Rhinolophus ferrumequinum: one gene and its partners. The protein of the gene in region 1 interacts with the protein of each later gene in a pairwise test. Links are inferred from orthologs where the notes say so. Each region holds a gene or a part of one and is shown in the gene's direction. Other genes may lie near its edges.

Evidence for each region.
Region 2: the proteins of DZIP3 (region 1) and HNRNPUL1 interact in binary tests that used the Homo sapiens proteins (3 or more experiments, as listed by UniProt). The link is inferred for Rhinolophus ferrumequinum from reciprocal best matches to the Homo sapiens genes DZIP3 and HNRNPUL1.
Region 3: the proteins of DZIP3 (region 1) and ZNF24 interact in binary tests that used the Homo sapiens proteins (3 or more experiments, as listed by UniProt). The link is inferred for Rhinolophus ferrumequinum from reciprocal best matches to the Homo sapiens genes DZIP3 and ZNF24.
Region 4: the proteins of DZIP3 (region 1) and ZCCHC10 interact in binary tests that used the Homo sapiens proteins (3 or more experiments, as listed by UniProt). The link is inferred for Rhinolophus ferrumequinum from reciprocal best matches to the Homo sapiens genes DZIP3 and ZCCHC10.

What each region holds. Positions count from the first base shown.
Region 1 is NC_046285.1:36,204,491-36,211,859, forward strand, and holds the start of DZIP3 (E3 ubiquitin-protein ligase DZIP3), read left to right. Parts: upstream 1-4,351; 5' UTR 4,352-4,618; intron 4,619-7,369. Other genes in the region: protein CIP2A, read right to left, coding at 179-326, 4,005-4,106. UniProt on the Homo sapiens protein: E3 Ubiquitin ligase proteins mediate ubiquitination and subsequent proteasomal degradation of target proteins.
Region 2 is NC_046298.1:39,590,661-39,597,714, forward strand, and holds the start of HNRNPUL1 (heterogeneous nuclear ribonucleoprotein U-like protein 1), read left to right. Parts: upstream 1-4,030; 5' UTR 4,031-4,192; coding exon 4,193-4,487; intron 4,488-7,054. Other genes in the region: AXL (tyrosine-protein kinase receptor UFO), read left to right, coding at 1-339.
Region 3 is NC_046302.1:29,354,158-29,361,310, reverse strand, and holds the start of ZNF24 (zinc finger protein 24), read left to right. Parts: upstream 1-4,129; 5' UTR 4,130-4,278; intron 4,279-6,144; 5' UTR 6,145-6,223; coding exon 6,224-6,643; intron 6,644-6,820; coding exon 6,821-6,968; intron 6,969-7,153. UniProt on the Homo sapiens protein: Transcription factor required for myelination of differentiated oligodendrocytes. Required for the conversion of oligodendrocytes from the premyelinating to the myelinating state.
Region 4 is NC_046307.1:9,250,610-9,257,796, reverse strand, and holds the start of ZCCHC10 (zinc finger CCHC domain-containing protein 10), read left to right. Parts: upstream 1-4,187; 5' UTR 4,188-4,237; coding exon 4,238-4,278; intron 4,279-7,187.

The sequences.
Region 1 (7,369 bases):
TACAAGATTCCCTTTTCAAGAGATCCACAAAGAAAAATAGTTCTGAAAGGACCTGCAAAGAAGAAATCTTCTGAATGTGAATCATTCGCTGAAAGATTCTATGCCTAAATTTTGCCTCTTAAAAATATTAAATTCATACATTTTCTAAAAACTGAAAAAGAGAAACTAAATACATTACCTAGTTGAGACAACAAACTGATAATACTTAAGATCAATGGTGCACTTATGTTTGGGTCTTCAAGTAGCTCTACAAGGCAACTCAGGCATTCACTTGGTAATATCTGATTTGATGTAAATAATCGTGTGAGCTTCTGTCCAGAAATTACCTACAAAATAGTAATTAAAATGCGTTAGTTAAAAATTGGCAGTTTTCTTCCCTTTACCATTTCTAATAAAAACTTAGTTCTTCCAAAGTGCCACGGCCATTCTTTCCTAATTTAGAAAATTCATACATTCTGTTTCCTCTGCCTGAATATTACCAATCCCTTTCTCACTAATTAATGTAATCACTCAGGTTTCAGTTTTAATTTGTTTCCTCCAAGAAGCTTCCTCTAACCCTCTTCTACCAGCTAGGTTAGATTTGCCTATTACATTATCCTATAGTACGTTTCATAAACTGGCAAACTTTTGGCGACCTAATAGTATTTATCCTCCCTACTATACTGAACACTCCATAAAGGCATAGACTACAAATCAACACTCTACTATTAATATATTTATTGAATAAATGAATTCCAGTACATTCATTCCACCTACTTTGAGGGAGGCAATAGAAAGTAAAAAGTAGCTAAATCCAAAGGCTTAGCTATGGGATTAAATTCCAGATTACTTCTGCTCCCTCCCAAAGATAGTAGCTGAGTCCAGAAGCTAGAAATTACAAAAAAGGCAGTAAAAAAAAATTTTTTTAAGTGGCCAAGTCAGGCACAAACTTTACCTTTGGTTATTCCACTTTTTACTCCTCTCTTACAACCGTACAAACCACTCTCCCCCTTACCCCTTGAAAAGGTAAAGCTGGGATTGAAGGACAAAAACAGTTGTCAGACACCTATTTTCAAAATGCTTTTTGAATGTTATTTATTATTAAGCACGTCTTTTCTATAAAAATGGAAGAACAATTAGTTACTTCAGAATTATATTAAATCTGTTCTAAATGTTTTCATTTTTAAAAGATCAAGTCTAAGCAGGCTATTTTAGATTCCCTCTAATCTTTCCTTTCTATGTCCTTTCATTCCCTCACCTAGATGAGTTTTTCTTCTAAAGCTTTGCTGATAAGAGAACTTCAGAGTATCTTTTTCCCAAGGACTATGTGTTTTAACATTAAAGACAAAGTCTGTGAGACTGAAAAATAGGTCCAAAAGTTAAATTAGATACTGATAGTAGATATTTTGCGGTAAGGAATCTTCTGAACATTGCTCTTTTGCCTACTTATAAAGCTAGTCCTCTAGAAGATTAAGACATTTTCTGCTTTAAATACAATTTCCCTCAGAACTGGATTTGTAATTCAATAACATAAGTACTCTAACATGTAATAATTATTACAAGGTACATTTTAAAACTGCTTTACAAATTTTCTTCTTTACTCATTCATACCCATTGAATGCTTTAGGCAAATATAATTTATTTCAGTAATAACTAATACTTTAGCACTTACTTTGGCCTAGGCATTGTTTTAGGTACATTATGTTAATTCTTTTCATCTTCATAACCTGCAAGATAGGGGCTAGTTATAGTGCAGATGAGTAAACACAATGAGATAGTAGCAAAATTGGGATTCATTGTTCCTGAATCCATGCTCATAAACATTATGTAAGATTAGTGCTATGAAAAATCATCAAGATTGAGACCAGTTCAGCTCTGCCTTCACAAAACAATTCAAAGCTGGGATTCTGCATGGGACTATAAAGAAAAAATATAGCAGAAGACATGCAGCAAAATAGCAGAATGAATAATCTTCTTTCACAGGATAACTGTCTCTCTTTGTATCCTCATGTTGCTCTCATGAGGTCTGCGCAAAGATATTCACCATTAATATCATCACCAAAATGGTGGAAATTTAAAAATCTGAAAACACCAAAGATCGGTGTGGATGAATGACAGCAAATTTCATATATTGGTTGTGGGAAGGTAAATGGTATTTACTTGTGAAAAATTCATTGGCAATTTCAACTAAAACTGAACATAAACTGTTTAAGACTTATAATTTCACTCCTATATAAAAGAAATTAGTGCACATATAGCCGCAAAAAGAGTATGAAAATATTTATAAGAGATTTATTCAAATTCTACCCCAAACTGGAAACAACCCAAATTCCCATCAACCAGAGAATATAAACTGTGGTGCATTTATACAATGGAATTCTACACAGCAATAAAAAAAGAACAAAGTATAGCCGATGTGCAACACAAATGAATTTCAGATTATACTGACTGAAAGAAGCCAGGCACAAAAGTACATATTGTATAAGTCCACTTCTCTGAACTTTATGAGAAGGGACATTGAAGAAAACCTCATAGGGGGCTGGAAATGTTCTATATATGATATGGGTGGTAGCTACTTGGGTGTATAGATATGTTAAAAAACAAAACAAAAACAACCTATCAAGATCTTTACTGAAGATTAATGCACGTTATGCATTGTATGTATGTTCTCTCTAAATGGTAGATTATTTTTCAGTTTGGAACCCCCTGAAAGTTTGGAACACTATCAAGAAGCCACTCTCTAAGCCTCAAATTTCTTTGAAGTCTCCTTCAATTCACAATAACATAGTAGTTAGATTCACAACATATCTGTTTATTCTCAGAGAGGTAATGTTTCAAATTAATATCGGAAATACTTAACTTCTGTATCTTACAACAAAACTGACAGCCCAGCTTACTCTGTGGCTTCTGGATCCACTAGTACAGTGTTTTATCTTAATTAAGAAGCAAAGCATTAGCATTTAACAGCTAACACCTTCATCTTTATTAGGTTTGCAGAAATTTGTTGAGGTAATGAATGAAAAAGAAAATGTACTTAGGAGATGGGCACCTGAAGTAGAAAGAACACCAAGTGAAGCTCGAGAGAACAAAGACACATTTAAAGCACTCCACTTTCACCGAAGACTGATTCACAATGGCCTTCTCTTTGTAGAATTTTGCTAATCTTTGGTAATTTAATCTTTTATTTAGGGTTCATGTAACAAATAGAATATACTTTATGTAAATAGAAGCTGCCACAGAGAATTAAAATAAGCCTTGATTGAGCTTAATTATTTATTATTCAACTGAGAGCATTGTTAGGCGGAATTCCATCAATGCTTAACAAATGACAGCATATGAAGAGCAAAAAAAGTTATAACACTGAATAACTACTCTAGACACAAATCAGTGGGAACTAATAAAAAAATGAAAGCAATTCAGTATTTTAGGACTGAAAAGCTGTGAGCAATGTATTTTGGTAAAGAAAAATTATTATGATTACTAGTGAGATTGCCTTTTAATCCAGAGAAAGTTTAAATAGTATTGTTCAAGTTCGAGGTCAACATGAATTTAAAATAAAAGCAGGAAGGAACAGGTTCAGACTGTAAACAGCCTAAGGGACCAGGAATAAAACAAATTTTAATCATCATTCCCATCACCTTCACCCCTGAGAATCGCTGTGTCTTCTGTCAGGGCTCTGTGACGACGGAAAAGAAAAAAAAAAAAAAGAAGCAAAAGAAAAGATATGGCTTTGAGCTTTCTCCTCTACCACCCCCAAACACAGCCTAAATTCCCCAATCTTGTGTCCCAACCTTCCTCTTCCTAGGACTTTCAGCAGTCACTCGACCCTCCCGCAGCAGCCAGCTGAACAAGGAGGGACTAGGGGCGGGGAGAAGAGGGTGGGAACGCAAGGGTGATACTCACTCGCCTTCTTTACCAAGACAAAAAGACAGCTGAGGAAGACAGCTGTCCTTTCTATTCTAGCCTGGGGCCGCTACACTCCGGCAGAACGGTAAACTAAATATTACTACAGCGAAGCCCCTCACCTCCAAGTGCCGCAAAAGCTGGCTAGCGTTCGCCTCCGACTTAACGGCTTTATACTGACTGATGGTCAGGAGCAAGGACTTCAAGCAATGGGTGGAGTCCATTGAGACCCGCCACCGCCACGCCAAACGTCTACCACCTGGACCCAGCCAGGTCGAGTTTCCAGCTTTCGCCGCGCTTTTTTTGATTTGAGACCCCACCCCCTCGCTCCCAGAAGCTTCCGGTTCCGGTCACGCTCCGGAAACCCCAGGGCACCCTGGGGTACTGACTACTGTCAATGACGGAAGGGGAGTGGGGGAGTCGAGGAGATGGAGGGAAGGGGAGTACGGGCAGAGAGATCGAGGAGCTTGATGATTCCGTGAAGTGGGTTGGGAGCTGTCCTTTCAGATCTGAAAAGCCGCGAGGTTTCAGCTTTGAGATCCCGGGAAGACGAGAATCTCGCGAGAAATGCGATTGCTGCTCAAGCTGTGAAGGGGCAGTTAGACGCAAGGGGTCCTTGTTCATCAGTGCGCTCTGTTTTCGTTTGATTCCTCGGCCTTCACGCTGGATAGCCAGTTTTTCCTTTGCGCATCATCCTCTACCTGAGAAATGGTCGCTTCCCCCTAGTCTAGACACGGTGAGGAGCTCTGAGGAGGAGAATCTTGGGCTCTAGGTTTTGAGGCGGCCTGGGAGGGGTCCCTTTTTAACAGCTCATGTGTCCACCCCTTGTACGCAGAAATGCTTGTTTCTCAGAGTAAACCTATGGCCATTGGGATTCTGTGGCAAGTTAGTCATACCCTTAACGTAGTCGTTGTCAAACTTATTTGAGAAAGCTACCTGCGGGTGACTCCTGGGCCGGGTATTGCTCCGAGGGTGATTTCATTAGCGTCAGTTTTTGTAAGTGAAGGTGTCTGTTTTTATTTGGCGTGATTGATTGTTTTATAAATCTCGGTGTCCATGGAAATGGCGCTGTCATTTACGGCTTTTGATCACAGATAATTAATATGCATGTGTATGTCATTAAATGAGTCGAGTAGCTGGTTCTGGAGCTTTTTGCTTAATGTATGCTACTGTTGAATAAAGCTTTAAAAAGCAGTTTGGAGAAAATTGTAAGAATACGGTATATATCCTTTTATTAAACCATTTGTCAGAAATCATGTTTTGTCAATTCAAAGGAAGTATTCCTTACATCACTATTTTTAAAGGCAGGGTGTATTTTTATATTAAAAATCAATTTTAAAATTAAATCTGAAAGCTTAAAATAATCTAACCAATTAGACATACCTGTAAAAATCATTGGGTAATGTATATATGCATTCATTCATTCTGTAAACAATTACTGAGTGTGTAAAGTGGGCTAGACGTCTAGACATCGCCAGTAAGGGAACAAAGATAATGAAGTATCTCCTGCTGGGAAGGAACTGTCTACTAAGGGAAATATGCTAAACAGTACCTATGGAATTCACCACATAAATTAGGGGCACCATGCAGTTATGGTAAAGTTATGGTAAAGGCTGTCTGCTTACAATTCCTACCTCTACCTTTTCCTGTGTGATCTAAGGCAGATTCTCACTGCTTCAATCTCTTCGTAAGGTAAAATCTGGCTAACAGTAATACCTGTTGCATAAGATTGTTCAGTCAGTAAATAATTAATTAGAGCCTACAATGTGCTAGGCACTGGTCTAGGTAATAGATTCAGTGAATAAAATAAAAATCATACTGTCAATAAAACAAAACGTTACCATTACATTCTCTTAGGAAAAAAAACGCTAAATAATAAACACAGTCAGTTAAGGAAAGTGAGATGGAGAAAAAAAATAACAGCAGAATTATTTCTCTAATGTAATGGTGGCTGAGAAGAAGAGAAATGGGAGGTCAGGAAGGAGAAAGCAACATTTGAGGAAATACTGCAAGGAATACTCTCTAGGGGAAAAGATTTCTATATAGAATGGCAAGGGCAGAGGCCCTGAAACGCAAGCCTGACAATGTGTCAGGAACAGTAAGGATACCACTGCCACTGGAGTTGAGAGAATAGTAGAGGTGAGGTCATGTCAGGTCGTGCAGACAGTGACCTGGCATAATTATGTTCTCAGCATGTGTTAGTTACATCTTAATTCCTTGGCAAATGAAGTGATAACAGTTTGGTAATGTGAGACTTTCATTAGTAATGACAAATGTGTCATCATCGTCCCCATTTTGAGCCCAGGGAAAGGGTCAAAGCTTCTTGTAAGTGCCATCTTTCTTTGAGCTTGCATTTTAACTTAAGCAGTCACACATTTTTTTGTATATCTTCCATAAAATATCCATTTTAATACAAAATAATGTTTCTGAAAAATCACCAAAAATTGATATTGTAACTTTAGTAGGGTATACCCTACCATGATGATAGCTGTGAGAAGCATCTTTTTAGTCAGAGATGCTTGCATATCTTAATATGGGAAACACAGAGCCATATTTTAAGCCTCAAAAAGGAGGAAGAGGAGGAGATGAAGCTGGGTCCAGATGACTAAAAGCCTTATTAGTTTTGAGCTTGGACTCTATTCAGAATTCAGTGGTGACCTTTTTTATTTTGAACTGGGGCCTGATCTAGTTAGGTTTGTGTTTTAAATTGATTCCTGTGGCAGCTGGATGGGCTGTGATTTTGAGAAACATAAAACTAGAAGTATGGAGTATATCACATTTGCTGGAGTTTTTCCAAAGGATAACTAGGATAACTGAAGTGGAGGTAGCAAAGAGGTGACAAATTTCAGAAATGTATATGAGGTGAAATAGGCAAGATTTAGTGACTAATTTCAGATATAAAGAGTGAGAGGGATGAAACGAAGGGTTTCCAAATTTTTAGTTTGAGTGGTTGAGAAGATAACAGATACTGCTAACTAGTTAATAAAAAGTATTCCGGTTGTATTTTATATCCAGTGAAATTTTAGAAAGTTTTTCCTACAGTCTTGTACCATTCTCATTAAGTTTATTCCTGGGTGTTACATAATTTTTGTTACTGTGAGTGGGCTCTCTTTTTCTCCTATACATTTTTAATTTGTTGCTGCTTCTGGAAAAAAGATCCTGATTTTTGATATATCTTTTATATAACCTACTAAAATCTCTTACTCTAATAGAATTTTACTTACCTCCCTAGACTTTCTAGCTATATTATCATCTGCAAATAATAATTTCATCTCTCCTAGTGTAGTCTCCAAAACATGGAATAATCATGGTGATACTGAACATCTTTATCTTAATACTTAATTGAATGGAAATGACCAGTATTTTAACACTTAGTATAACTTGTACTATTGGTGTGTGATAAATGTTTTTTAAAGTGTTTAGGAGATTGCCCTTTATACCTGTTTTACTTGAAGATTTGCCAAAATGTCTGCAAAAAAATTGTCAA
Region 2 (7,054 bases), on another chromosome or scaffold:
TCCCGGTGCTGGGAGCTAAACCCCCAGGACCGGCCAAGTTTTGCAGAGCTGCGGGAAGATCTGGAGAACACGCTGAAGGCCCTGCCCCCTGCCCAGGAACCTGACGAAATCCTCTATGTCAACATGGATGAGGGTGGGAGCCAGGCTGAACCACTTGGAGCTGCTGGAGGAGCTGACCCCCCAACTCAGCCTGACCCTAAGGATTCCTGCAGCTGCCTCACCGCGGCTGAGGTCCATCCTGCTGGACGCTATGTCCTCTGCCCATCTACAGCCCCCGGCCCCACCCTGCCCGCTGACAGGGGCTCCCCAGCACCCCCAGGGCAGGAGGATGGAGCCTAAGACAACCCTCCCCATGGGACTCCCTCTCAGGACACAAGCTAGGCACTGCCACTGGGGGACTCCTCCTACTTTCCCATTCCAGGCCTTACCCCCAACTGCAGCCCTCTCTTCCAACCTATTTCACTTCCATCCCACACAGATCCTCTCCCTTTGCTACACCTTAGTGTCCCCATGTGTAAAAGGAAGGGGTTGGACTGCAATCCCTAAGGGTCTTCCTAGGTCCAATATTCCAAGATTCTGGATTCTAAGGTTCAAAGAGTCTAGATTAAAAGGTTCTAGGTTTTAAAGATGGCTATGAGTCTTTGGTTCTAAGGACCTGAAATCCCAAAGTCTCTAATTCGAAAGTGCTGAGGTTCTAGACATGGTAGTTCTAAAGCCTATATTCTAAAGCTCTGAGATTCAATGGCTCTAGATTTTTCTGGTTTTAAGATTCTTGATAAAGCCCTCAAGTTTTTAGGTTCCAAAGTTCTAAGATTCTAGGTCTAGGATCTAAGACTCTATGATTCTAGATTTTCTTTTCCTTAGGGTGTAAGATTCTAGATTCTAAAATCCTACACTTCTAAACATGGAGGTTTTAAGGCCTAATATTCTAAAATTCGATATTCTAAGCCTCTTAGAGTATAAATGCTCTGGCTGTAAGACTCTAGATCACAAAGCTTCAAGATTTTATCTTCTCAAGTTCTAAAATTCCAGTAATAGTCAATTATAGACTCTAAGGCTTTTGATCCTCAAAGCTCTTGTTAAGAGATTCTGGATCCTAAATGTCTAAGATTCTAGAATTCAAAAGTTCTAAGAATTTACAAGTGGAGGTTCTAAGGTCTAATGTTCTAAGATGTGACTAAGACTTCGTCTAAGAACCTAAGTTCTCTGTGTCTGTGCTTCAAGATTCTAGATTATTAAAGTGTAAGATTCCAATGTTGTTCTGTTCCATGTTCCAAAGCACTCTAGATTCTATTGGTCCAAGATTCTGGATCCTCAGCATCTAAGGAGTAAGACTCTACAGCTGGGTGTGACTAACTATATACCAAAGTTCTAATCATTTCTAATGTTGTACACCTTTAGGTTCTATGCTGTATTCTGACTTTCTAGGATTTTGGTTAAGGGTCCAAAAATCCACAGTTCTAAATCTTAAGATTCTAGGCACTGTAGTTTCAAGATTCAAATGTTAAAATTCTAAAGGTCTACAGGTCTAGGATTCTAAGGTACAATTCCAAGGTTCTAACCTTATAGTAGTCTTCTGTGTGACCCTCTCCTTCTTAGCCACCTCTGCTTCCTCCTCCCCTCATGTGGGGGTGTGCCTCCTCAAACCTGTGCAATGCATTAGGGATGCCTCCTTTCTGCAGGGGACAATCTTCCTCCTTTTGGGCCATGCTGCCCCCCTGAGCCAGTCCCTCGTGCCCCCTGTACAGAGTGTAGACTCGGGTGCCTCCAGAGGGGCTCAGATCACATTAAACTTTGTAACCATGCTTCTGTCTCTTCTCTTCTTGCCTCCTCTCAGCAGTCATGTGGTCCCTTTCCCTGGAAACTCAGTTTCCCCATCCATAAAAAGAAGGGTTTGGTATGGTCTAGGAGTTCTCCCCTCACTAAAGAGGGTAGAAATGAACATATGCACAGACAAAAAGACATGCAAGCAAAGAAATGCAGACTCTCTGAAACCCTTAGTGAGGAATAGGCACATAGGTACTCAGGGTCACATGGAGACACCCACCCCCCAAATTAACAGACACATGAATTAATGGACATACTCAGGCACACCTGGTCACAAATACAGACACTGAAGTTTGGACACAGTAACAAAGACACATAAAACTACAGATACAAACATATGCACAGGCAGATACTCACCAGGAAAAGAATAGAAAGAAATTAGAGTAACACAGACACAGAAAAGTGACACTAACACTCAGAGACAGAGAGAGTACTACAAGTACTCACAGATCCAAACGTTCTGATTCACATAGAAACACAGGCACATAACACTGCCAATAATCACTGTCCCACAGAGGAACTCCTGCCAAGACAAGCCCACTGTGTTTTGCACGCGTTGTGGGCACACATTCCTGGGTGTGCCCCTGGGCAGATGGAAGCGCCCTTGGCAGCGCCCGGACGCCCCCCGGTGGCGGTTCTTGCGAACCTAGAACAGTTCAATCCGGGCCACAAACTTTTAAAGAATAAATCATTGTGGGAAGCTGGGAGGAGAAAGGAAGTCGGACGTGGGCGAGGGGCGGAGTGTCTGGATTGGAATCTCCGCGCCCACGTGAGTGTCTGTCCCGCTTCTGAGTGGGTCCTGCGTGTCTAGGTCGCCGTAGTGTAAGCTTGTAGTGTAACTGCCCTGTGTGTCTTTATCATTCGATGCCGCGTGCCTATGCGGACCTTTGTGGGCGCATCTACACTGAAGTCTAGTGTATTATCCCCTGAATTGATGCATCTGATCTGATCTCACGGTCATTTATTTATCTGTGTTATCTGTGCCTTTGTCTAAGTAAAGGTTGTATATAGCTTTTGTGGATTTAAAGTAAGACTCAGTGGGCAGCCGGCGTTTGCATTGTGTATGTCGATTGTGTATCTTACAGAAGTTTTGTGTCTTTGGAGTTAGAGGCGACAGATGGTGCAGCGTTAGATACTGTGAAACTGTAGCGTTTGTATTTATTAGCGTGAGGCTTATCTACGAACCCATGCGTTTGAGCTTGTCACTACAGACGCCAAACAACAAGATCTATTAAACAGCAATTTAGAGGATTAGGGATAGAGACCCGCGAACTTCTGGAGGTCTTCCTCAAGGAAAAGGCTCTATGGTTGCGTGCAGAGCGCCCATTCCACTTAAAACACCAACCATAGAGAAAGAAGACTGCGAAGCTACGTTCGTGGAAAGAGGCGCCCTGTGAGATGTTCTATCAAGGGGAGACGGTGCGATTTCCTTTACAACTTTTCTCCCGTTGTTAGTCTAGCCTCTGTTTTCAAACCTTCAGGACTCTCTGAAGTCAATGTGTCGCTTTTCAAAACGGCAGCTGAGTTCCTTCCCCGTCAAGAATAACTTATCTACTTAATCTTTATTTCGTATGCCTCCCTCTATAGCGAAATTTGTGAGGCAGTCCGCTGAAGAATGGCCAATCTGGTTAGCTTTTCCTAAAGCGATCCAACTGTAATCTCTTTAGTGAGATCAAACAATAATTGCGATTGGTGGGCAGATTGTTTTGAAACCGCCCTAACGGCAAGGGGCGGGCCCTTCGTGAATTCAACTCTTTCCGGTTTCTTAAAGGCAGTAGTGGAGGGTGGGGGTGTCTGCCGACCCTCCTTTTAATTCGTTGTAGGGACGAGAGATCTAGACCAATTAGAATATGTGTTACAGAGGCACTAGTTTGATGAAAGGGCTGCACAGGAAAGGCCGTGGGGCGCGCTCATTCTGAGATCTCATCGCTGATTGGCCTAAGTCCTTACTCCCTTCCCCTCATTTAACCCTACGGGAGCGAGCGCACGGTCGCTACCCAATCACCGTGCGCTCCGCCTCCCGTCTTTTCCCGCCCTCTGCTCGGGCCGCGGCAGCGACGTAGGCCAACGCTTCCTCCCCAGCAGCTACTGAGCTCTTCCATTGCCGTTCTTTTGCAAGCCGCTCTCTGATTGGCTCAGACTCCGGGCCCGCGCCGGTTGCCCACACCGTGGCCAATTGGCACCTGTGTTGCATCGCATGAAACTACGGAAGAGGGGGAGGAGGTGGCGGCGGCCATTTTGAGCTGCCGCGGCCATTGGAGTAGCCCCCCCCTTTCCCCCTTCGCCTTCTGACAGGAAAGGTTTAAGGGGGTCAGAGGCCTGGGAGGCAGGGCCGGGCTCGGGGGCCGCCCCGGGGGCCCGGGCCATGGATGTGCGCCGTCTGAAGGTGAACGAACTTCGTGAGGAGCTGCAGCGCCGCGGCCTGGACACTCGCGGCCTCAAGGCCGAGCTTGCTGAGCGGCTGCAGGCGGCGCTGGAGGCCGAGGAGCCCGACGACGAGCGGGAGCTCGAGGCCGACGACGAACCGGGGAGACCCGGGCACAACAACGAGGAGGTCGAGACCGAGGGGGGCTCCGAGCTGGAGGGGACCGCGCAGCCACCGCCGCCCGGGCTGCAGCCGCACCCGGAGCCTGGCGGCTACTCGGGGCCGGACGGACATTGTGAGAGTGCGCGGGGCGGGGGCCGGGGAGCCCGGAGTCCGGGCCGAGGAAGGGCTGTGGGACGCGGGAGTCCGGCGCCTGAGGTCGGGGAGACAGTCTGAGCATTGGGGGATCCTGCTGCCCTCCGCTGAAAAAAGAATCTCAGGAGAAGGGCCTCGGGACGACCGGAGGGTGGATCCTGGCATTCGGTGCAGGGGAGATACTGGGCGTGGGGGACCTCGGTTTCGGAGATGAGAAAAGTCCGGGGGGATTTAGAGGATTCTGAAGCCTAGGGCTGGGAGACCGGAAGCGGTGGTTTCGGGAGCTGAGCGAATCGGAAAAACAAGAGGTTTTCTATTCAGGAGCCCAGGAGGGTCATGGAAACGATGATCTTAGGCTTTGGAGCTGGGTGGGCTCGGAGGCTGTGTTAGCCCAGCTTGTGGGCTGGGCGTTGGGAGCCGTGTTTTCAGGGCAGGTGTTCAGGGCTGGGAGAGTTTTGAGGATGGAGGATGCTGGAGTTTGCAGCTTGGTGGGGTAATGGGAAGTTTCATATTTGCTACTAGGACGGGTTGGTGAGATGGAAGTGATGTCTGGCCGGGGAGGGTCTGATGGACCGGGTGCTCTAGTGTTTGGCTGGTGATCGTTTAGGGCATATGGGAAACCACCCTGTGATTGGACTGGGGGGAACCTCATCTGTCTGAAGATGGCCTGAGGGGCTCTGAAATCCAGGGCTGAAGGCCAACCCTGAGGCAGGGACATTGGGTGCTGGGAAATGTGGGGACCTTCTGGTTGACTTGTAGAGGAGGTATAGGGAGCTTTGGAGTGGGAGACTGGCAGGGGAGAGAAAGATGCTTCACTGCACAGGGGACCTAAAGATCTAGAGCTGGCAAGGTTCTGGGGATAGAAAGCTCAGAGGCTTCTATCAGAGGCTGAATGGTCTGGGTTAACAGTCTGAAGAGCGGGTTGGTGGGGTGGGGCAGATAACAGGTTGGTGGAGTTTGAAGTCGGTGGAGTTTGAAGTCGGTGGAGTATCTGGGGGACGGGATCCTTGTGTCCACAGGAATGTGTAGCTGGCCTAGCACATATCGGGGAGGATAGAGTGTGTGGGATGTGGAAGGAAAGAGAAAACCTGTTGACTTGGCTGGGGACCTCAGGGTGGAATGGGGGATAATGTTTCTGGGGCTGAGAGGTCTCCTTGGCCCCCAAAACAGTTATTTGTGTGCCCAGGGATTGGCGGGAGGCCTCAAGAGGTAGCAGGAAACCTCTGCATCACTCAGGGTATGACTTAGAACGAGAGGTGGTAGGGTAGATCTGTGATTATCTGAAGAAGGGCGACCCTGGTATGGGGAGGGAGTATATCTGGTGTTACCAAAGGGTGGCTTTCTAGCAGGACTGGGGAATGGGGATCGGAGAGGTTAAGGAGTAAGAAGAAAGGCCTCTGGCATCCGGGGTTTGTGATATTTCTCTGAAAAGAGGGCACCCTGGGCCTTGGGGCTAAGGGAATGAGGAGAACAAGGAGGTCAGGAAAGAGACAAGATTTGGGGTTGGCATTGGGTACTTACTTGTTCATGGGAGATGGGATCTCCTAGAGGGGGACAAGTTGAATGTGGATTTGGAGTAGAGGGTGGCCTGGGGACTATCTAGGACCCAGATGCTGGGAAGAGTACTTCCCATTGCGGAGACCTGTGAAGGAAGGAGGGGTGGCCCAGTGTGCAGGTCTAGGGCAGGAGAGACCCCGGCAGGAATGCTTACAAAGAAGAGCCAATGGCCAGTGGTGTCTCAGAGGAAAGCAAGTTAGGTGCTTCAGAGCACAGACTCCAGACTCAAACAGACTTGGTTTCACATGTGGCTCCACGACTTGGGCAAGTCACTTTACCTCTGTGAGCCCTGCTTTCGTTGTGCGTAAAATAAGGGTAATAATAGTGCCCTCCTGGATTGTTATGAATGAGGTCACATGTGTAAGGGGGCTTAGCACTGGAGAAGGACCCCAGAATCACAGGTTCTCTGGGCAAGGCTGCCTCTGTGGGCATAGGAGAGATTCTTGGGAACTGAGAGAAGTGAGGCTTTGTGGGAAGAGCACTATGCTTGGAGTCTGGGAGAAACGGTGGTTTGAAAGGACTCCCTGTGTTCCAATTAAGGAGCTACTCCATTTCTTCTCTCTCCCCTACCCCTTACAATGAAATCTTTTTTGAGTCCCCTTCATGCTTGCCTCCAATCCTTCCTTCAACTTTAGTAAACAGACCTGTCGCAAAACACGTGGTCTATGACTTTCCTCCCTTTGGGCTGCACCTGGTTTGTGCCCAGATGTATTTGTCCTCTGAGAAAGGATCCAGTCAGTCAGTGAGTTGCAGAATAGTCTCTCCTTCCCTGTGGTTCTGCCTCACTGGTCCTGGCACCGTGGCTGGTAGGGCCCTAGAGGCACCTAGCAGAGCTTGCCCCTGGGGTGGAGAACCTGCTTGTTGCTCGTCCTAGGTTTCCAAACTTCTTTCTGGGTTTGGCTTCAAGATTCTTGAGGAAGTTTCATGTTTGGTCCCACTCTGCTTTTAGTCCCACCTTTGAGCTTTCACCATGTGTTATCCCAACCCCAG
Region 3 (7,153 bases), on another chromosome or scaffold:
TACTGAGTGGCTTAAATAACAGGAATTTTTTTTTACAGTACTGGAGGTTGAGAAGTCCAAGATCAAGATACAAGCTGATTTGGTTCCCAAGTTAGGGCTTTCTTCCTGGTTTGCAGATGACCGTCTCCTGTGTCCTCACATGGAGAGAGAGAGAAGCAAACTTTCTATGTCTCTTCTTATAAGGGCACGAATGCCATCATACAGGACCTACTCTCATGACCTTATCTAAACCTAATTACCTCCCAAAAGGCCCATCTACAAATACTATCATATTTGGGGGTTAGGGCTTCAACATGGGAATTTGGGGGGCAGGAACAAACATTTAGTCTATAACACTATATGACCCAGCAATCCTACTTTTAGATGTTTAGAGAAATAACTTATGTTCACACAAAACCCTGTCTGTTAGTATTTAAATGGCTCTCCTCATAATTACCCAAATCCAGAAACAACCCAAAAGTTGTTTAATGGTTGAATGGGTGAACAAATTGTGATACCTGGAGTGAGATACTACTCAGCAATACTCAGCAATATGAACTATTGAGACATGCAACAACCTAGATGAATCTTAAAGTCATTATGCTGAAAGATTAGAGGCATTATGCTAAACGAAAGGTTTGTGAAAGGTTATGTACTTTATGATTCCATTTATATTACATTCTGGAAAAGTCAAAACTATGTGTGATGGATAATAAGTCAGTGGTTGCCATGGGTTAAGGATGTAGGAAAATTATGAGTACATCCTGAGGGAGTTTTATGGAATGATGGAAATATTCTGTATCATGATCTTGGTAGCAGTTTCACAAATCTATACATGTGTTAAAACTCACAGAATATATGCCCAAAAGAGCCAATTTTACTGTATATTAGTGTTTTAAAAGGAGTAGCCCTCCATGAAATAGCAAACAAATAACAGAGCAAATAAAGCCAAAAGTTGATTCTCTGCAAGATTAATAAAATTTGTAAACTTTAAACAAAATTGATAAAAAAGAAAACCAGAAATCACCAATTTCAGAAATGAAAGAGGGACATCATTACTGGTCTTATAGACATTAAAAGGATATTAAGGAAATATTGTGAGCAACTTTATGCCAATAAATTTGACAATGTATATGAACTAGATAAATTTCTTGAAAGACCCAAACTACTTCCCCTTACATCCCATTGACCATTCCTAGCTTCCAGTGAGGCAAAGTATCTGGCAAATGTAATAGTCATAGATGGCTTAGTTCAATCACAACTTATTATCTATGGCTGGGCACAGTGTTGCACCCTCCCAATTCAAAAAAATCAGGGGTGTATCAGAAGTTAGGGGAGTGTTTTGTGTAGGAAAGTAACAATGCCTACCACAGTTAGGTTTTTGTCACTTGCAATCAAGACTCCTGGTGCAGTGCATTTATCAGCTAAAATGAAATCTTTAACCAGCGTACTTAAAGTGCATACTTTTGAGCTGAAGGGAGGGACTGAGAGCGCCACGATAATTGTTAGAGAAAAGCCTAGAAAAGATTATTCTTAGAAAAAAATCTGATAACACCAAATCTGAAGGTCTGTGCTGCTTTTCCAAAGTGAAAACTTTTCTTCCCTCCCTCCATCTCAGGTTGTCTCCATTCCCCCTCAGTGCAAGAGCTCATTTAAGTGCCCCTACTGGTATTTTGTTCTTCTCTACTGAAGCATTTCTCCACTGTCTTGTAAATACTTGTTTTCTTGTCTATCTCCTTAATGAGATGGTGATGCTAAAAAAAGGAATCATGACTTCATTTTAGTCATCTTTAGTTCTCTGGAACCTACGTAGTATCTGTTTTTTGCTTGTTTATTTGTTGTTGTTGTTTTCCATTAATGAATAAGATGCTTTTAAGGCAAGGTTGAAAATTTTGGCTAGTAAAGAAACAATGAGTCCTTTTTAGATTTAGACAGATTATTGCTTACACAGACAGTGAAAGCAAGAGTAGCCATAAGTACCAGTTCCTCATGAGCTTTTGTCATACAACAAAGCAAAAGGAGCTGGATGATTGCAACATGAGTTGTGGAATGCCTCGGTGCTGAGGGGCTAATGCCGAGCTGCAGCTAAGCCTTTTTATAGTCTGCAGCTGTACTGTAGTGGGAGTGAAGCAGAAAGCCTTATCACAGGAAGCAATAAGAAACTGTCTCATGACACCCTCCTTGGAGGACAGGGAACTAAGTGCAAATGGCCTTGTAGCAGCTCCTTACAAGCCATTCATGCTCTCATGTTCCAGAAGGTATTCTGCCAAGACTCAGATTCGCCTTGCCTATGTAGCCTATGTAGATATATGCAAGGTTATCCAGCACTGGCATGAAGCTATTCCCTACACTCAGGTTGCCCAGGGGAACAAGAAGCTCTATCTTGACTAGATCTTGAAGATGGCAACGAGGACCACCTTTCTGGAAAGAGTCCACATAGGGGGGCTCAGAACTATAGTGTTTCAAAGTGGGTGTTGGTCCCTGTCTTCAAAAGAGTAAATTAGAGAGGAAAACCTCATTGTAGTATTTACTCTCTTAGAAAAAAATAGGAATTACAGAAAGGAATCCCAGGCAAGGGCTTTGTAAAAGTTTGCAACATTTAAAATTTCCTTAAGTATTTCTATTTGATTTTTTAAATCTTTCCTGTTTTCCAACATTAATTAGATGTAAAAACTCTTAATGTAAAACAAAACAAAATAAAAATGCCTTGAGCTAGCCATTAGGGTGACAAAAGAGGAAAAGGTAGAAGAGTACCTTTCTCTTCTTTCAAAGGTGGGTTGGTGGCAGTAGCCAAGTAGGAGAGTGAAGCCTGGATTTCTGAAGCCTCCTAAATGATCAAAGAAAGAAGAGGATGAGAGTTAGCAGGGGATCTGTGGAGAGGAAGTTCCAGTCAAAGTGTAAAGTAGCATTTTATCATCAGCTGCTTGCTGACTTGTTCTCTCATTCACAAATCCATCAGATGCTGAGGGTACTTTGCAGAGGTCACTGTCCTGAACGAGGCAGAAAGCCAAAGCCTGCAGATCTTGCACTGTCTGGAAGGCTGGACCTACACTTCTAACATAGACCTTAACAGGGATCTTTTGTGTGGTTTCTGATGCCTGACATGTGACCGAGCAAAGGCAGGAATGTAGCCAGCCCACAATTCACTCATTCAACAAACATCCATTGAGTTCTCTATGTACCTGGCAGTCAGCATCCTAGGATTAGGTGGGGATACTGCAGTGAACAAGACACAAGTTCTCTGCCCTTATGGGACTTACAGACAAAAACAAAAGAAAACGAAACAAAACACAGGGTGAGATGATGCTGCAAAGGATGCCGGGAGGAAAGGTGGGCAGTGAGACTGAGGACGCTGGGCCATGGTGAGCCTAAGCTGAGGTCAGATAGGGAAGGTAGGGAACAGACCACAGGGGGCCATGCAGGTGGATGTAGAGTTTTTATGTCATACTTAAGGCAGCGGGGATCCATTGAAGGCGTTTAAATAGGGAATGAAGTAGTTTGATTTACGTTATTAAATGATCACTCAGCAACTGTTTTATGGCATAAAATGTCCAGCCTGAAGTCAGAAGATGACCGTGCATTCTGCAAATTCAATGTTAGATCATTGCCAAAGCTCTAACATGTCTCATCTTGTTTCCCTAATAGATAAATTGGTTAAAATAAAGCTCTGTAGCTTAGCCAGTGGGAGCCAAAGGCTGGAGTCATGCTTTGGTTTCAAATTCTGCTTCCCATTTAATAGTTAATGAGCTCTTGGCAGGTTATTTACTTCTGCCTTAGTTATTTCAGCTGTGAAATGGGGATAATAAGTGGCTCCATCATAGGTTTTTGTGAAGATTAGTAACAATACACGTAAAGCATGGTGATGGTGCATGGCACAATGTAGTAAGCATTCATAAATATTACCTTTTATTACTTCTTTCAGAGGATTACTGTGAAGACGACATGAGAAAATGCATGTGAAAGGGTTTGTGAAACCGAACAGACTATCCTAACGGCAGAATTCTCTTTCTTTTCCTTGCCTTTTAAGCGGAACACAGAACATTGGGCTATCTGAGGAGAGAGGCACGAGGCCAAGCCAAACCTCAAAGCGGTCATTGTCGTTAGGCAGCCCCTCCCCCACCCGGAGCGCATCTCCATGGCAACGTGGGGCTTCGCCTCTCCCCGCCTCCTGGGGCCCGCAGACCGGAAGCAGCCCGCGCAGGGGGCTTCTGGGAAACTGCTTGTGAGCGGCGTTTCTGCGTCTGCCCTGGACAGCGAAGCTGCTAAGGTTCCTGAGCCGGAGGTTTGCGCCAGACTGAGGTAAAACCGTGACGGGGACGCTGGGCTAGGGGTTGCGGGCTGCTTGGCAGCAGCCAGCGAAGAAACCTGGCAGGTACCTTCCTCGGGTCCCCGGGAGGTGCGGCGCACAGGCCACGGTCTCGGCGCCCAGCAGTTGCGGGGCGTGAAGGGGCAGACGAAAGGCCAGCTCGGGCTTTGGGCACCCTCGGAGAGTTCTCCATCCTGTGTCCTCCGCGACCCTCGCCTTCCCCCTCCCCCATCTGCCGGTTTTGTTCTATTTCGAGGCGCTGGCGTCTCGCGGAGAGTTCTGGGACTCGTTTCGGGAGGAGGTGGGAGAGGGCGGGCCCTGCGCGGGAGCTGCCGGAACTTGTAGTTCCCCGGGCTGCGGACGGAAGTGCAGTGTCCCCGACGTTGTTGTGGCAGGGTGGCCTTTGGTCATCTGAAATACTCCGCCGCTACTGCGGAGAAGAGAGTTCGGGGGACGTCGGGGCGGGGACAGAGTTCGCAGCGGAACTCTGCAGGAGTGAGGTGGGGAGATGTGGAACGAGGCTGCCCACCCAAACACTGTCAGGACCGCGGGCCTGCCCTCCCGGCACCTCCTTCCCGTCCTTTGATCAGAGTGCGGGATAAGAACATAGAAGAGATTTCTTTCATATAGAATGCTTGAGCCATTGCGAAGGTAGCGTTCTGGAATAGGAAGGAACGAATCTGTTGGCTGAATCCTATTTGTAAGGCCACATTCCAGAGTAACCTTGTATGTGATACCTGCCTGATAAGATCTTTTCTGATCCCTGGTCTTCATCTGGATAGGATTACAGTTAAGTTTTTTTGAAATTAGTGGTTTTCACATTCTGGGCCCTGAACAGATAAATTGAGTAGCTGCATGTCTCATTCTTAATATGTGTTGTAAACAGTGCCACTGGCATGACTGTGCAAATAACTAAGGGAAGCATCAGAAGTAGCACAAGGTTTTCCCTGAAGGTAGAAGCTGGGAAAACTGTGAGTCATCTAGTATAAGGACAAGATTCAGGTCCACTGTAAGAAGTTACGGTGGTTGTGAGAGTCTCTTTTCTACGTAGAATTTGTGGTCATTAATGCCTGTAATGATAAGTTTAAATGTAGTTAAGGTGTGGGTGACTATAATATTTGCATTGTATGGCTCCGGGAGGCTAATTTTTTCCAACATTATGTTATCTTTTCCTGAGCAAGTGAATACTTTTTCACATATATTTTAAGTCTAGGGAGTTCTTAAACATTTAAAAATATCTTTCCACTTTAAAAAACACATTTGGTCTTAAAAATGTTTTCCTTAAGCAGATAATAAAAAAGTGTCCTTGTTTTTGAGTTGACCTAAGGTTGGCTGGGAACGCCAGTCTTGAATTGCAAATAAGGTGTTCCAGGGTCGAATGCATTTAGAAAACTCTGAGGTGGGCTGGTTCTTAACTTGGATTCTTTTGGTTATTGAAATAAGGTTTATTGCTTTTGTAGGTCAAACTTTAAAGGGCCAGATAGTAAATATTAGGTTTTTTAGGCCAGATAGTCTCTGTTACAACTACACAACTCTGCCACTGTGGTGTGAATTGTGAACAAATAAATAAAATTATTTGTGGACATTTTAATTTCATATTTTCACATGTCATGAAGTATTCTTTTGATTTTGTTTTCAACCATGTAAAAATGAGAAAACTATTCTTAATACAAGCATTGTACAAAAACAGGCAGCAGGCCAGATTTGGCCATGGGCTGTAGTTTGCCAACTTCTGGTGTAGGTTATTGATTGGAATTTTTAAACCAGTAAAAGAAGAAATATTTTTACTTCCTTTATTAGCATGTATCCAAATTCTTAGGATATTTGGTCATTTATAAATATATGTTTTTGTACCTCAGGAGAGACTGTGAAGAAAAGGAGTTATTTCCCAGAAGCCTGTATCCTGCCTTATCTTTTTTTGAAGTGTTATAAATCAGGATGTCTGCACAGTCAGTGGAAGAAGATTCAATACTTATCATCCCAACACCGGATGAAGATGAAAAAATTCTGAGAGTGAAGTTGGAGGAGGATCCTGATGGCGAAGAGGGATCAAGTATCCCCTGGAACCATCTCCCTGACCCAGAGGTTTTTCGACAGCGATTCAGGCAGTTTGGATACCAGGATTCGCCAGGGCCCCGTGAAGCTGTTAGCCAGCTTCGAGAACTTTGCCGTCTGTGGCTCAGGCCAGAGACCCACACAAAAGAACAAATCCTGGAGCTGGTGGTGCTGGAGCAATTTGTTGCCATCTTGCCCAAGGAGCTGCAGACTTGGGTTCGAGAGCATCATCCAGAGAATGGAGAGGAGGCAGTGACGGTGCTGGAGGACTTAGAGAGTGAACTAGATGACCCTGGACAGCCGGTGAGCCTGCTTGTGTCACTTTTCCTGGGTGAGAAGCACTCACATAGCAGTGGGCAAGGCTGCTTGAAACAACTCCGCTCAACTACAGTATATGTTTTGTATGGTTTCTCTTATGTGTGTTTAGCTCTAATTTTCATAAAATTCCTCATCAACTGAATCAAATCTTGTTATTTCCAGGTTTCCCTCCGTCGACGAAAACGGGAAGTGCTAGTTGAGGAGATTGTATCTCAAGAAGAAGCTCAGGGATTACCAAGTTCTGAGCTCGATGCTGTGGAAAACCAGCTTAAATGGGCATCCTGGGAGCTCCATTCTCTAAGGCACTGTGGTGAGGACCAGAATTCCATGTGGACTAGAGGATGAAAGAGTGTGGGCCTTTTGTCCAGAACCCTTTGTTTATCCGCGCGTGTGTGTGTGGCGGGGGTGGATTATCACCTTCACCTGATTTCTTAGACTAGACACACTGTAGGAGCTTGATTCTTTTCTCATAACAATTGGTCTGTTGGCCTCAGG
Region 4 (7,187 bases), on another chromosome or scaffold:
TCAGGAATTCTTTGGGGGCAAAAACCAGAAACCCAACTTGAACCATCTTAATCACAAAAGAGATTTACTGAAGGGAAGCTATGATAACCCAAAGAATTCAAGGAGAAAATATCAGGTGTAGGCAGGTGTTTTTTTTTCTTTCTTTCTCTGCCTCTCATCTCTGCTTCATTCAGCAGGTCAACTTCCTTCTCTCCTGCAGATAAATTGAAGTGACCAGAGAGGAAACCAACAAATCCTGGATTCACAGCTATGTATGTCACAGCAAAGTATTGCATCAAGGCCCAAGGACTCTGAGGAACCCAAGCAGGTGTGTCTGAAGATAAGAGGATGTGACACAGCTTTTGAGTATGTAGTTTTCAAGCCCTCTTGGAAAGTGGCAATAACCAAGAAAGGCAGCTCTCACTCCATTCCAGGGAGCTTCAGGCACCACTCTCACCCCCACGCCCAGAGATGGGTGTAAAAGCCATCCTCTTTTCAGAAAACCAGAGCCTTATACCCACAGGTGCCTAAAAGCCCTTCCCCCAACCCCCTCTTTACAAAACAAATGGTCTCCCTGCTCTGAACTTCTCCCTTAATGAGCCAAGTCAGTCAAATTTTCTTATCCTACTGGAAGAAAAATAACTGTCTTTTTCTTATATGCAAAGGCATATGAAGGGAGAACCCACATTTGATTTTGCACCAGGATAAAAAAAAAAAAGTGGGTTTTTTTTGGTTTCATTTTTGTTTGGGAGTTTTTTGACAATAGCTACTAATCTTCAGAGAAAAGACTGATTCTGAATTCTAAGAAAAATGGGAGGATCACTTCTCTTTCCTCTGCTGGTCCTGGTGGAGCAAGTTTTCATTAAGCTCAGTCTCACAGTGTCTTGTAAAAATACATTTACCAACTTCTGGTGCAGGATCAGCTACATAATGTATAGAGCCAGGTGCAAAATTAAAATTCGGGACTTCCTATTCAAAAGATTTTAAGAATTTCAACACGGCAGTAGCAGAGAATCAAGCCAAGTGTGGGACTTTTCTAAGGAGAGGCCCTGTGTGCTGTGTAATTTGTGTGCCCACAAAGCAGGCCCTGTTCTATGCTCAGCTCTAACCACAGGTGCCCATAAACAGGTCAGGGTCAGGGCAGGAAACAACCATCCTGACGAAAAGCAACCCAGTCCAGAGAGATGCAGCTCTCCCTTCACATATGCCTTTTATATCCATCCTTCCCTGAGTTCTTTGAGACATCACACATACATAACTGGAAGACACTTGGAGGTTTCCCTAGAATAAAGGAATAGTCTGCTTCAAGACCAATAAAGTGTTCACTCTTGCCAGATAGAAGTTACTTGCTGCTTTCCCAAGGGTTTTTAATTTTTTTTTTCAGCTTCTACCCATTAAGGTTTATAAAACCTAGCATTTGGATTGTAGCCTTTGCCTCTGGACAAAGCTGAGGGTCCGTCAAGCCCATGAGTCTCAGTGGGAAACAGCTACAGTGGTCTGGTCTTGCCACTAATAAACAGAGTTATTATTGTATTGTGTGTGTGACTCCTATGTTGAACTCTCTAGAAGTTTTTGATTAATTCCTGTAGGCTTTCCAGGTGTGCAAACAAATCATCACAAATAATCTCATTAGCTTCCTCCTTTTGATTTGTTATATTTCATATGTGTCTTGCCTTTTCACCTTTGCTATAATGCAATTTCTTTTAAAATTAGCTGACTAATAAATCTTAATGCTGTTGCTTTTATTATTTTTTTTAAATAAGCCCTCCTGTCCTTTTTTTTTTTTTAAGGAGGATGCAGCTCACAGTGGCCCATGCGGGGATCGAACTGGCAACGTTGGTGTTATTAGCACGACGCTCTAAACAACTGAGTTAACCGGCCACCCCCAAATCTCAATATTGTTTTGAAGAAAACTTGAAAACTTGAGAATAAAGCTCATCCAGGAAAGTAAATGCCTAGGAGCAACAAAAAAATTGAGGGAAAACGGACTAATTAGGAGGGACTTGCCTTATCAGATATCAAAATGTCCTATAAAACAATGGAAATTCAAACAATGACACAAATACTGGCACAAATAGAACTTTGGAAGAAAATATAATATCCAAACAAACTAAATTTGTTCATATTTAGTATATGAGAAAGTAGCATTTTAAATCAATAAAAAAGTGATAGATTATTTAGTCAACGGTGCTTCAAATACTAAAAATTAGGGTTAAGAATATAATCATAGTTGTAGTTAAATAATTACAATGAAATACAAGAAAATATTTTAATAATTTTAGGACATAGAAGGCCATTCTAAACATTAGCCAAATCTAGGAACCCATAAAGAAAAAGATTGTTAAAAATGCCCACATAACAATTTAATGCCTATCTATAGGGTAAATGATCACAAAATGAAAAGAGAACAAATAGGAAAAATGTTTGTAAACATGTAAAACAAAGGATTTGTACGTAAAATATTAAAAGTTTCTATAAGTCAACATTAAAAAGATAAAAACCTAATAGAAAAATAGCAGAGAATTTGCTATTTTTTGTGAATTATCTTTCATGAAAAGATAACTCATGCAAGATAGGTCTTCAGTGATCATACGAAAGGTACTTAACCTCATCAGTAATACATCCTATTGGCTTATTAGATAGGCAAAAGTCAAAGTTTGACCGTTCTCAGGTCAGGTGAGGAAGCAGTTTTGGGTACAGCCTATTTATAGGGCCTTAGGTAAAATCTATCAAAATTAAAAGTGCACATATCCTTTGACCCAGCAATTCTACTTCTAGGAAGTCATCGTACAGAAACACGGGTGAGTGGTTAAATATCTGTTCATTCCATCTCTGTGATAAATGATCGAATTGTTCACCAATACAGTACTGGTTGCATAAATTGTGGAATAGCCATATAACGTAATATATAAAAAGTATGAATTAGATCTGTATGTGCTGATACAGGAAAAGATGTCCATAAGTACACTGAGGAATGAAAAGAGCAAGCTGAAGAACAGAACAGATAGTAACACTCTGTATTTTTTTTAAAATAGAAAGATGTACTAAAAGTCTATCTCCAAATGCTAAATAGCTTTTCTCCCCCTTACATTCAACTATTTTTCTTTAGAGTATTTACGCTCTACATTGCCTTTGTTTATTGTCTGCAGAAAGTTCCATGTGTACAAGAACTTTATTCATTCAATGCTTTATCCTCAGTTCCTAATACATTGTAGGTGTTTGATAAATATTAATTGAAAAAAATGGAGACTCAGAAACATACATATATATATATAGTTCAAAAAGTTGTTTCAAAGACTGTGGATTTAAAGTAATAAAATCTCCATGATCTGACACTAAATGCTAAAAATATACCAAATAATTAATAGTATTTGTATAATCTTTTTCCTGTTGACAAAGCATCTTTACTTACATATCATTTGGTCCTTGTAACATCCCTATGAAATACACAAAAATATAATTAACATGTATTTTCACTTTTGGGTTTGCTAAATTTAGTCTTTCGAATGATGGTTCCAATCCTATTCAACACATTCCTTTTTATTTTGGTTTCCAGACCAAGTCGTTTTCTGAACACTGCAGTTTTCTTCTTTGTGTGTGCATATTCATACATATATAACTATCTACACATATAAAATTATTCATTTACATATAATTATACACACACACACACACACATACAATTTCCTTGTGAAGAACGTTCTTTCCTGCCTCTCTACGCAAAATACAGGTGACTCTTGAACAACGCAGTTGGGAGGCCCGGACCCGGGATCCGTGCACAACTTTTGACTCTACAGTAGGCCCTTCACATCCGCGGATCAAAAACAGTATTTTCCACCTGTGTTTGGGAATCAAGGTTGGAAATGCAAAAACAGTTTTTGATTCTCGGCTGGTTGAAACCATGGATTCGACGCCTGTGGATGCTGGTGGATAAGAAAGGCCAAATGTACTTATTGAAAAAAATCATATCTGAATGGACCCTCACAGTTCAAACCCGTGTTGTTCAAGGGTTTGAACAACCGTACAAGTACCCAACCTTCAAAACCCTGTTCAGGCCAGACAGTGGGCCTCACTCCCTTTCCCCAAACCAGACACGCACAAGGCAGACACAGCAGCACACTGCTTGCCCCAAAACCAGTCCCAGAAGCCAACGAGGCAGGACAAGCTCCGCCCACTCTTGCGTCCGCTACCGTTCGAAGTCCCCGCCCACCTCAGGAGTTTCCCAAAACCCAGCGCGGCAGGCCTTAACCGCACTAAGATGGCGACTCCCATGCATCGGCTCATAGCCCGGAGACAAGCGTAAGTGAGGGTCTCAGTCGGGGGTGGGGGGCGGGGAGAAGCGCGTCAGCCGGCGGGTGAGCGGGCGCCAAGATGCGGGACCAGTGTCGGATTCTCAGTGGGGACCGGCAGAGGGTGGCCGTTTTTCTCACCCGTTGCCTGGTCCCGGGGGGCGCGGGCAATAAGTTTGGTGCCCATGGGCCAGCGATTTCGTAGAAGAGGGCTGCGTAAGATCCCCGGGGCGGCACTAGGGGGGTTCTGAAGAGAGCCTCGAGTTTGGTTTCCCGGAAGGGAACCGCAGGAGTTAGTCGCTAAGTAGTTTGTGTCCCTTCGCCCACCTGGCTGCCCGCTCACCCCACGCTTGGCCGGGGGAAGCCTGGAGCCCTGTCCTCACCCCCTACGCTCGCCGACGTCTGCAGACTCTAGCCTAGCTGGCTTTTCGTGCCCCCTTTCTATTGCCTTCCCTAGGAACAGCCTGACTACAACAACGCCAACTTTTCTCCCGAGCTATAGTCTCACTTTCTGCCATTCATTGTCTTCAATAAATACTGACTTATTCATTACCTACCACTCTGCCAGATTTTGGTATAAAGATGAAGTATTCAAGACAAACCCTGCTTTCAGGGAGCTTACATTCTAGTAGTGGGAGGAGTTGACAAACTAAACATTTTCAGTAAATACAGTTGGTGATAAGAACTTTGAGGGAAATAAGAGGTGATGGAAAAAGAGAAAGGCCCAGGTTCGGTTGGTTGGACTGGAAAGGTATTTCTGAAGAGGGGACGTTTGAAGAGATTGAAAGTGTGAGAAAGGAGCCAGTCATGAGAGGATTTAGGGAAAGAGCATTCAGACGGTGGAATAATTGCTTTGAGGCAGGAAAGAATTTAGTTTTCCAGAACTGAAAAATGACCATTATGGTGAATGAGTGAGAGGGAGAGGCACAAAAGTTTTGCCGTGGACATATAATACAGGAGTTCTTCCCGATTGCCCCTTTTTTGTAAAGCCTTTTTTCTTCTATCAACCCTCACACCCAAATGTCTGCCACTTTTCCATTCTCTCGGCATTTCATGCCATCACCATTTGTACGTCTGGAATATATCACTCACATTCTGCTAGCATATATGTTTATATATTTTTTATTTACATTTTTTATTCTAAGGGCCCTTTTCATTCTCTTCCCTCCATCAGACTGTCTCTCATGCCAGATGAGAAGAGGTCCTTGAGCATAAGGGTATCGATTGAGGACGTCAGGGTATGTCGTATGCTTAGTGGAGGAAGACGGCTTTGAAGTCAGTTCTGAGATCAAGAATGGAGTGATAATGATACTTAATAGGCAGACTAAATGATGTCACCAGGGTCCACTCTAACTCTCAGGTGTTTTCTTTTGGGTGTCAGTTCCATAGTTGGATATGTTCGTTCCCTTGGTCCCAAGATGGCTGCAGTATCTAGGACCCTTTATATCCTCTCAGCTTCAAGTTGGTGGCATCTCATTGGTGTAGATTGGGTTACGTGCCCAACCCTAGACCATGTCTTTGGGGTTGTGAAACCGATTGACTTAGATCTCTTTCTTTTCCCAATGCGCTTGAATGGATTTCTGTAAACCAATGATGAGCGGGGTGGGTAGTCTCAGAGGAGGTAATGAATGCTAGATTGGCCAAACCAACCAATGTCCACTCTAATTATGAAGTGAGAGTAGGACTTGTAGCGCCTAAAGAATATTGCTAGTTCTTATTTTAGAAATATCAGTAAGTTAAACAAATGTTCTGTTTCTACAGTATGCCTGTATTTCGTACATGAGCTACACAGAAGTAAAAGACAAATCTTACCTTTAGGAGCTTTTGCTTTTGTTGCTAAGAAAACATATGGTGTATAATAAAAGCTGTCAGGGTATATAGACTGTAAGTCCCCAGGGAGTCAGAGGAGGCGGGCCTTTAGAGGCTAGAGCCGTCCAGGAGAGTTTGGGGAAAATTTTTTCGGGAAAAGCAGAAAAGGAGCCTTTGCTTTTAGTTTTATAGTTATCAAAGAGGTTTAATTTTATTTGTAAAGAGGAAATCTTCTATAATAACAGATTTTAAACTGTTTTTAAGTTAGTCATGAGAAGTGAGAAAGTACTGTTGTCTTGGAAAAAGTCTTTGGACTTACAGAGGAAAGGCGGGATGTAACAGGAAAACAAAAAAGCCTAAATTGGAACTCCCCATGCAGCAGATCTTCAGGGACTTAACTTTAAATCAATTGAAATGAGATTATTTTCACTTTGTAAATTGTAATTACATGTACTCACATTCATATGTAAGTAGATTTCTTCCACTCAACACCCCCCTACATTCCATTACTCTCTTCAGCATCCAGGGTAGTCATCTAACTTTGGCTTCAAGACCTCCAGTTGGACATATTCACCTCCTGAAGTAGCCTGTTACGTTTTTCAAATCTATCAAAAAGTTTATATTGAACTAAAGGGAAAATAATATTTATGAAGCTAAACCCTACTCCTTTCTAACTTCCCAGCTTTTGACCAATTCTGTGGTTTCAGTCAGTTAAAAAGCCTAAGTGTTTTCCATTTGAATTGCCTTCAACTCCAAGCTTCCCCTGTCTTGTACTCATATTTATATTGATTTTCTGGACGTAAATGTTAAACTTACTTTTACCCTTGTTAAATTTCACCTCATCATTGACACAGAGATCCAGGCTGTCAAGACCTTTTGGCTCCTGATTCGGTCATCTGTCGTATTAGCTGTCCCTCTCAGCTTTGTGTCACCTACAGGTTTGATAGATGCACATCTGGGTCCTCATCCAAATCATTTATAAAAAAGTTGAATAAGACCAAGCTGAGGACCAAACCCTGCAGGCCATCACTGGATGCCTCTCTGTATAACTGACTTCAACCCATTATACAGTTCTCTGTCCATGATGTTCAGCTGACCTACCTGATTGTT